Sus scrofa: one gene and its partner. The protein of the gene in region 2 interacts with the protein of the main gene of each other region in a biochemical or structural test. Links are inferred from orthologs where the notes say so. Each region holds a gene or a part of one and is shown on either strand. Other genes may lie near its edges.

Region 1 (3,646 bases), on a different chromosome or scaffold from region 2:
TTTCCTTTTTTTTTTTGTCTTTTTAGGTCTGAACCCACAGCACATGGAGGGTCCCAGGCTAGGGGTTGAGTCAAAGCTGTAGCTGCTGGCCTACACCACAGCCACAGCAACCTGGGATCTGAGCCACATCTGCGACCTACACCATAGCTCACGGCAACGTCTGATCCTTAACCCACTGAGCGAGGCCGGGGATCGAACCCACAACCTCATGGATGTTGGTCAGATTGGTTTCCTCTGTGCCACGACAGGAACTCCCCTTTTCTTTCAGTTTTGATGAAAGCACAGAATGAAGCTACTCTGCCATTCGGTAAAGGTACAGGAGCTACCAAAAGAAGTAGTCCACTTTGCACCACACAAAAATGACTGCAGCTCTAAAATGTAGAAAGAAAGTGAGAAATAATTCTCAAGGAACTGCTCAGAATCGAGTCTTTCTGGCAGAGATACATGCTTGCAAAGCAACGCCCGGCAGAACAAAACTAACAGCTGAGCCTCAGCGACCTTCCAGAGTGGAAATTTCCTGGTAGGAGGGAGGAACAGGGGTGGGCGCAGCTGCTGACCACAAGCTACAGGATCCGGGGATGACCTGGGTGCAAGGCCAGTAAGAAGGGTATTCCCTCCCCCAGGCTCACCTATGGGTTCTTCAACCGGGACAAGAGACTTCAGGAAACTGAGCCAGAAAATCACTTGGTTCAGCTGGATCTCATAGGGTTCTTCCAGACTGAAAACGATGACATGGATGGATGTGGGATCGTTTGCAGCAAAATAGTCATAACAGCAGAAATACACGGGGTTTCCAGAGAACTCCCACACGCTGAAATCACCAACTCCTACAGAGAAAAAGGGAGGATTAGCGTCGTGGAACACCACCACCAAATTTCAATCATAATCAATTTTTCTCAGCACTTCTGGGATCACCCGCAGGGGCAGGGACATACATATGTATTTATGGATCCACCATCTATTTATTTCTGCATCTACTTATGTATAGATCTACACATGGAATACATATTTGTAGTTGTCTGCTTCTATATCCATGTCTATTATTGTTTTTTTTGTGGTTTGTTTGGTTTTTTTTTTTTTTTTGGCTGCACTCATGGCATGTGGAGGTTCCCGGGCCAGGGACCTAAGCCACAGCTGCGGCGACACTGGATCCTTAACCCGCTACGCCAGAAGGGGAAGTCCCTCCATGCCTTTTATCTATATATCTCTAAATCTACTTCTTTTTCTTTTCAGGGCCGAATCCGTGGCATACGGAGTTCCCAGGCTAGGGCTCCAATCGGAGCTGTAGCCACCAGCCTACACCCCAACCACAGCAACACAGGATCTGAGCCACATCTGCAACCTACACCACAAGTCACAGCAACACCGGATCCTTAACCCACTGAGCGAGACCAGGGATTGAACCCGCAACCTCATGGTTCCTAAACCTTCTTTCTGTTTCTGCTTATACATTTTCCTTGCACGTTCATTACTGCATCTGGACTTATATCTCTAACACTCCACACAGTGTGTGTATGTGCTTGTGTATAAGCAGCAATGGAAAGATGTATGAGTTACATATACACTTGGTTTTTCACTCCCAAATAGTGGTGTATACTCACTATGAAATGTAACCTTGGAGTTCCCGTCATGGCTCAGTGGTTAACGAATCCGACTAGGAACCATGAGGTTATGGGTTCGATCCCTGGCCTTGCTCAGTGGGTTAGGGATCTGGCGTTGCCGTGAGCTGTGGTGTAGGTTGCAGACACGGCTTGGGTGCCACGTTGCTGTGGCTCTGGTGTAGGCCGGCGGCTACAGCTCTGATTCGACCCCTGGCCTGGGAACCTCCATATGCCCCAGGAGCGGCCCAAGAAATGGCAAAAAGACCAAAAAAAAAAAAAAAAAAAAAAAAAGAAAAGAAAAGAAATGTAACCTTAACTTCGGTGAATTAGTAACTAAATTCACCTTCCACAGGTGAGTGAGGGACCAGTCCAGGCAGGTCAGAAGGGAGCAGGCACCATGCACAGGTGTAAGATGCAGTAGTTGATGAGCAGTTTTTTTGCAAGAAGGATGTGAGTGGAGCTGTGAGGAGACTGGGTCTGAGAGGCCACCCACACTGGGAGAGGGAGCAGAAGGGTTAGGCTGGGGAGGAAGGTTGTGTGTGTGTGTGTGTGTGTGTGTGTGTGTGTGTGTGGAAGGGGGCAGTTACATGAGCTGTGGGTGTGGCTGGTTTTCCCAGAAGTGTCATGGGTGAGATTCTGACCTGGAATTCCTAAGGCTCCAGGAACCCCCAAAGATGGCTCAGACACATGGACACTACTTGAAAAGGTGTATTAATTTACCCATCAGTTATCATCATCATCATTATTATTCTTTTGCTTTTCAGGGCCACATTCTCGGCACGTGGAGGTTCCCAGACTAGGGACTGAATCGGAGCTACAGCTGCCAGCCTACACCACAGCCACAGCCACTTGGGATCAGAACCGCGTCTGTGACCTACACCACAGCTCACGGCAATGCCAGATCCTTAACCCAATGAGCGAGGCCAGGGATCGAACCCACATCATCAAGGATACTAGTCAAGTTTGGTTACCGCTGCGCCACGAGGAAAACTCCACATCAGTCATTATTAAGCACCTGCTGTGTGCCCATTTCTCTGCCAGGTGCTGGGGACACCAAGGTGTTTAGCTTTGCTTTGAGGGGGTGGCATTAATCACTCCTCCAGTCCCGGCTCAGTCCTCGGGCTGCGCTGGCCCTTCCTTTGTCCCTGTACAGCTGTGACGGATGCCTGCCCCCACCGCTTCCTGGGGGAAACTGAGGCCAAAGGGAAATTCGAGGTTCTTCCCATTTGGAGGGGCGGGCCATACCATTCAAATAGGCATTTTGGATGTCGATGGCCTTGGTGGACTGGTCATCGGCGGAGCAGTGCGGGTGGTGGGCCGGGGCCCCGAACACCTCCAGCATCCCCTTGGTGAGGCCCGGCTCGAACATCATGCTGCGGCTCCGGACGCTCACGTTCTCACAGCCGGGGTACAGGTTGTTGATGCTCACGGAGACTGTGGGCCAGAGAGCAAGCAGGTCAGACTCTTCCTCCCAGCCTTTGCCTGGATGTCCCCTTTTCTGGGTCCCTCTGGGTCCCCATCCCACCGCTGCTTCAGGCTGGGTTGTGTGTGTGCCCCTTGTGAGCTGGGCTGGGCTGCCACGTTTCCCAGGGACGCTGCGCTGATTCTGTTGGCTCCATTCCCCACCACCCCCCACGCCCCATATCCTTCCTTGCACTGCTCTGTGGCCCCACAGGCTGACCCCATGGACCCCATCTCTCAGGCTGTCTTGTCATTTGCCTCTGGTTAGGGTCCTTCAGCAGAAGCCATGGAGAGGCTGGGAGGGGAGAAAGGCTGAGGCATTTTTTTCCCTCCTCACTCCCTGCTGCTTTTCTTTCTTTCTTTCCTTTTTTTTTTTTAATGGAAGTTTCCAGGCGAGGGGTCAAGTCAGAGCTGCAGCTGCTGGCCTATACCACGGCCACAGCAATGGGGGAGCCAAGCTGCATCTGCAACCTACACCACAGCTCACGGCAACGCTGGATCCTTAACCCACTGAGAGGCCAGGGATTGAACCCACATCCTCATGAATCCTAGTCAGGTTCTTAACCTGCTGAGCCACAGCGGGA
Region 2 (3,646 bases):
ATGGTCTTCAAGTACGTTGTGCCATCAAAACCTCCAACAGCCATGAGCTGTCCATTCACGACTGCCAGGCCAACCTATGGGACCAGAACACAGTGGCTGCTGAAGAAACTAGAGAATCACTAGGAAAATTTAGACTGGTTTCTAGGTTAATCTCTTTAATAAAAGATAGTCCTTTAGGGCCTTACATTCTGGTTTACTTGAACACAGAGGGAAAAAGTAGTCACAAAAATCTATTTAACTATGGGAACTATAATATTATATATTCAATTAGAATATTTACACAGAGTCAAAAACATTTATTTCTTAAATTTTAGGTGAAGCAATTACTGGGAGTAAGCAAGAACCTCCAAACTGCTCTTAATTGTTTTGGTATTTGCCTGTTCTAGTCTACTATGTAAATTTCCACTGAAATTCTCTTTAAAATAGAGATCTAACAATGCTGTCACTTTCTGCTAAAAATTTTCTACCTCCCTAATGCCTAAAGGTAAGTGTAAAATCCTTATGTCATTCAGTTCCTCCAGACTTCTAATGCACTCTATGCTGCAGTAATGCTGGTTAATTGCTAGTCCCAGAAAATACCCTATGTTTTTATACCTACATATTTTGCACATGTTATTTTCTGGCTGGTGTTTTCTTTCCCTCTTCTAGAAAACTGTATTCTTCCTTCATGGTCTAGCTTACATGTAACTTACCCTGGTAAGTCTCTCCACTGTTCCAAAAGCATTGAATGTACTATTCCATGTTCTCCTATAATGCACATGCCGCTACAACAGAATGTGTTTTCTATAGTTAGAAAGAAACACTTCAATTTCCCTCAACAAATTGGGAGCTCCTTGAGGAGAGGAATCAGGTCATGCTTATGTTTGCCTTCCCAGCACACAGTAGGCACTTAATATTTGCTAAATGAGTGAAAATATAATCAACACAGTGTAGCAGTGAAAACAACAGGAATGTGACTAAGAAGCTGTTATTTACCAGTAATAAAGAGCCATAGATATGTGAATGCTTTGACTTGCTGATGCCTACTGGTGGTGTTCCTGCTGTGTGAAAACCAGAATTTACTCCCTTTTATTCTCAGGTTATGGAGTCTTTAGCTGCAGCTGAGTTCTCCCACCTATTATCCTACATTGATGGGCTCATGATATGATCAGTGGTTTATGGCTTGCACTTCACTCTGAGCCAAATGTCTTAGGATGTATAAATTCTATAGTCCACTCTCGAAGTCTCTTGCAGTCACAGGTCATTGATGGTCTAGAATATGACATAGGTCAGCCTGCTCTAGCCTATACTATAAATGGGATAGATGCAAACCAGTTTGTGGAGACTAGTGGTGGGGTCAGATAGGTTTCTGCTTTGAATTGCTAGGCCAGCTACTTAGAATATTACCTAAAAACATTAGGTAGGAGGAATTAACTCTAAGAGATTTGGATGAATCCATATACCTAATAGATATCAATGAATATGAGTAGAGTTAGATATGGTAGTAGCTAAGACAGAGAGATGCCTTTCAGAGAAGCAACTGTTACAAGATAAATCATAAAAAAATCATTCTCTAATTAAATATATGATTGGCTATAAGATATTTAATGACTTGAGATAACAGTAATCAAAAGAAGTTAACTTTTTTCCCAGTAGAAAAGTAGCAGGAATTGTAGTGCCTATTCAGTGCATCTCCTCACTGACTCAGTGTATTATATTTTACAGATCAGACTTCCCCTTCTGCACAGCCCTCTCCTGGTTCTTGTTTTTCAGTTTTCAGTAGTTGGCACTTACTCCACTACGGCGGGATGTCATAGCCACCACTGGAGACCACTGGTTAGTTCTGGGGTTATATCTCTCAGCACTGCTAAGCTCTGTAGTGTCATCTCTACCTCCTACGGCATAGATCATGTCCTGATACACCGCACAGCCTAGGTGTTTCCTCCGGGTCCCCATAGGGGCTATGGTGTGCCATCTGTTTTCCTGAGGGTTATAACGCTCCACTGCAAGGAAAAGAAAAACCAGTAAGTGACTATTCAATCATTTCCTCTCACCTCTAGCAACACTGTATCCTTAACCCTCTGAACGAGGCCAGGGATTGAACTTGTGTCCTCATGGATGCTAGTCAGATTAATTTCTGCTGAGCCATGACAGGAACTCCTCTAGTTTTCTTTATAGCCACTTTGCTTTGTGATAACATATTTTCAATAAGCAATCTCATATTTGCTTCTGAGAAGGACTTACCCACCTTTGAATAATACCACTATACTCTTGTCAGGGACTGGTTTCTTTTAGGTATGGTTGGTGGAAAGGGCAAATGTTGGAATCATGGTACCTTGTTCTAGTTCTGGCTATATAACTCATTAGCTCACTGACTCGTGGCCTCTCTCCTCATCTTAGAATGTTAGACTATATGATCTGTAAGTACCATTCCATACTGATAACTTGTTATAAGCAGACAATTTTTTTTTTTGTCTTTTTGTCTCTTCAGGGCTACACCCACGCATATGGAGGTTCCCAGGCTAGGGGTCGAATTGGAGCTGTAGTCCCCAGCCTATGCCAGAGCCACAGCAACACACGATCCAAGTTGTGTCTGCAGCCTACACCACAGCTCACAGCAATGCCGGATCCTTAACCCACTGAGTGAGGCCAGGGATCAAACTTGTGTCCTCATGGGTGTTAGTTGGGTTCGTTAACCGCTGAGCCACGACGGGAACTCCAGCAGACAGCTTTATTCTTGTTCCCCACTGCCTTAAATTCCTACTATATCCCAAGCCACCAAGGAAACAAGATATGTGACAGTCTGATGTCAGTGCCACACTGACAATGTCCTCAGGCAAAAATTTCTTTAAAGAATACCAGTTTATAGCTATAAACCAGTTTATAGCTGTGTTTTTACTTATTTTTAGATTATAACATAGAGGGTTTTGGGGTTTGTTTTTAAAGAAAGATAGTTGAAAGGAGGGGAATAATCATATTAAGAAAATAGTTCTTTTATTCATTATAAATTCCCACCAACTTGTAAAAGGAAGGGATAAAGAAATGCTTTTGGAATATACTAGTAGTCTATGGCTGCAGAAGGAGCTGAGGAAGAGTTAAGAGATGCACTCTAAAGGGAAAATAACGGTCTTAAATTATAGGATAACTTGGACTTGTTATACTTTTTATAGGAGGACTCTCCTAAGAAAACTTGCTTTGGGGGAACCAGACTGACCTTAGAAGAGACTAACCTGTGTTGAGTGGAGATGTCCCATCAGAGCCACCTACAGCATATAAGAAACCTCCTAACACAGCCACGGCCACACCCAGTCTTCTGGTACTCATTGAAGCCACCCGAGTCCACTTGTTCTCCTTTGGATCGTACCTGTGGTGAGAGAAACCAAAGACTATATATGTGCATGTTTTTATTAAGTGAAGCCTTTTCCATAAGGTATGAAATCATGCTAAGGATATGTTAGATACATAGACTTGCTATGGTCAAATGGACAGTGAGAATCTAACATATTTTACTTTATTAGAAAAAAAAAGAATTAGTGTCTGCATCACTTATTAAGCTATCTTCTATATGCTGATTTATGATGCTGGGGCTAGAACTCTGAAAACTACATCTCTCCTTTGCCAAGCTGGCTCTCTTTTAGATTCTGCCAACAGGAAGGACTAGACACTT

What was found.
Region 1: the proteins of KLHL20 (region 2) and DAPK1 are reported together in a solved structure, tested with the Homo sapiens proteins (2 studies listed by BioGRID and IntAct, with this or other methods). The link is inferred for Sus scrofa from reciprocal best matches to the Homo sapiens genes KLHL20 and DAPK1.

The regions. Positions count from the first base shown.
Region 1 is NC_010452.4:27,738,173-27,741,818, forward strand, and holds part of DAPK1 (death-associated protein kinase 1), read right to left. Parts: intron 3,036-3,646; coding exon 2,847-3,035; intron 828-2,846; coding exon 630-827; intron 1-629. UniProt on the Homo sapiens protein: Calcium/calmodulin-dependent serine/threonine kinase involved in multiple cellular signaling pathways that trigger cell survival, apoptosis, and autophagy.
Region 2 is NC_010451.4:116,074,954-116,078,599, reverse strand, and holds part of KLHL20 (kelch-like protein 20), read right to left. Parts: intron 3,344-3,646; coding exon 3,210-3,343; intron 1,983-3,209; coding exon 1,774-1,982; intron 75-1,773; coding exon 1-74. UniProt on the Homo sapiens protein: Substrate-specific adapter of a BCR (BTB-CUL3-RBX1) E3 ubiquitin-protein ligase complex involved in interferon response and anterograde Golgi to endosome transport.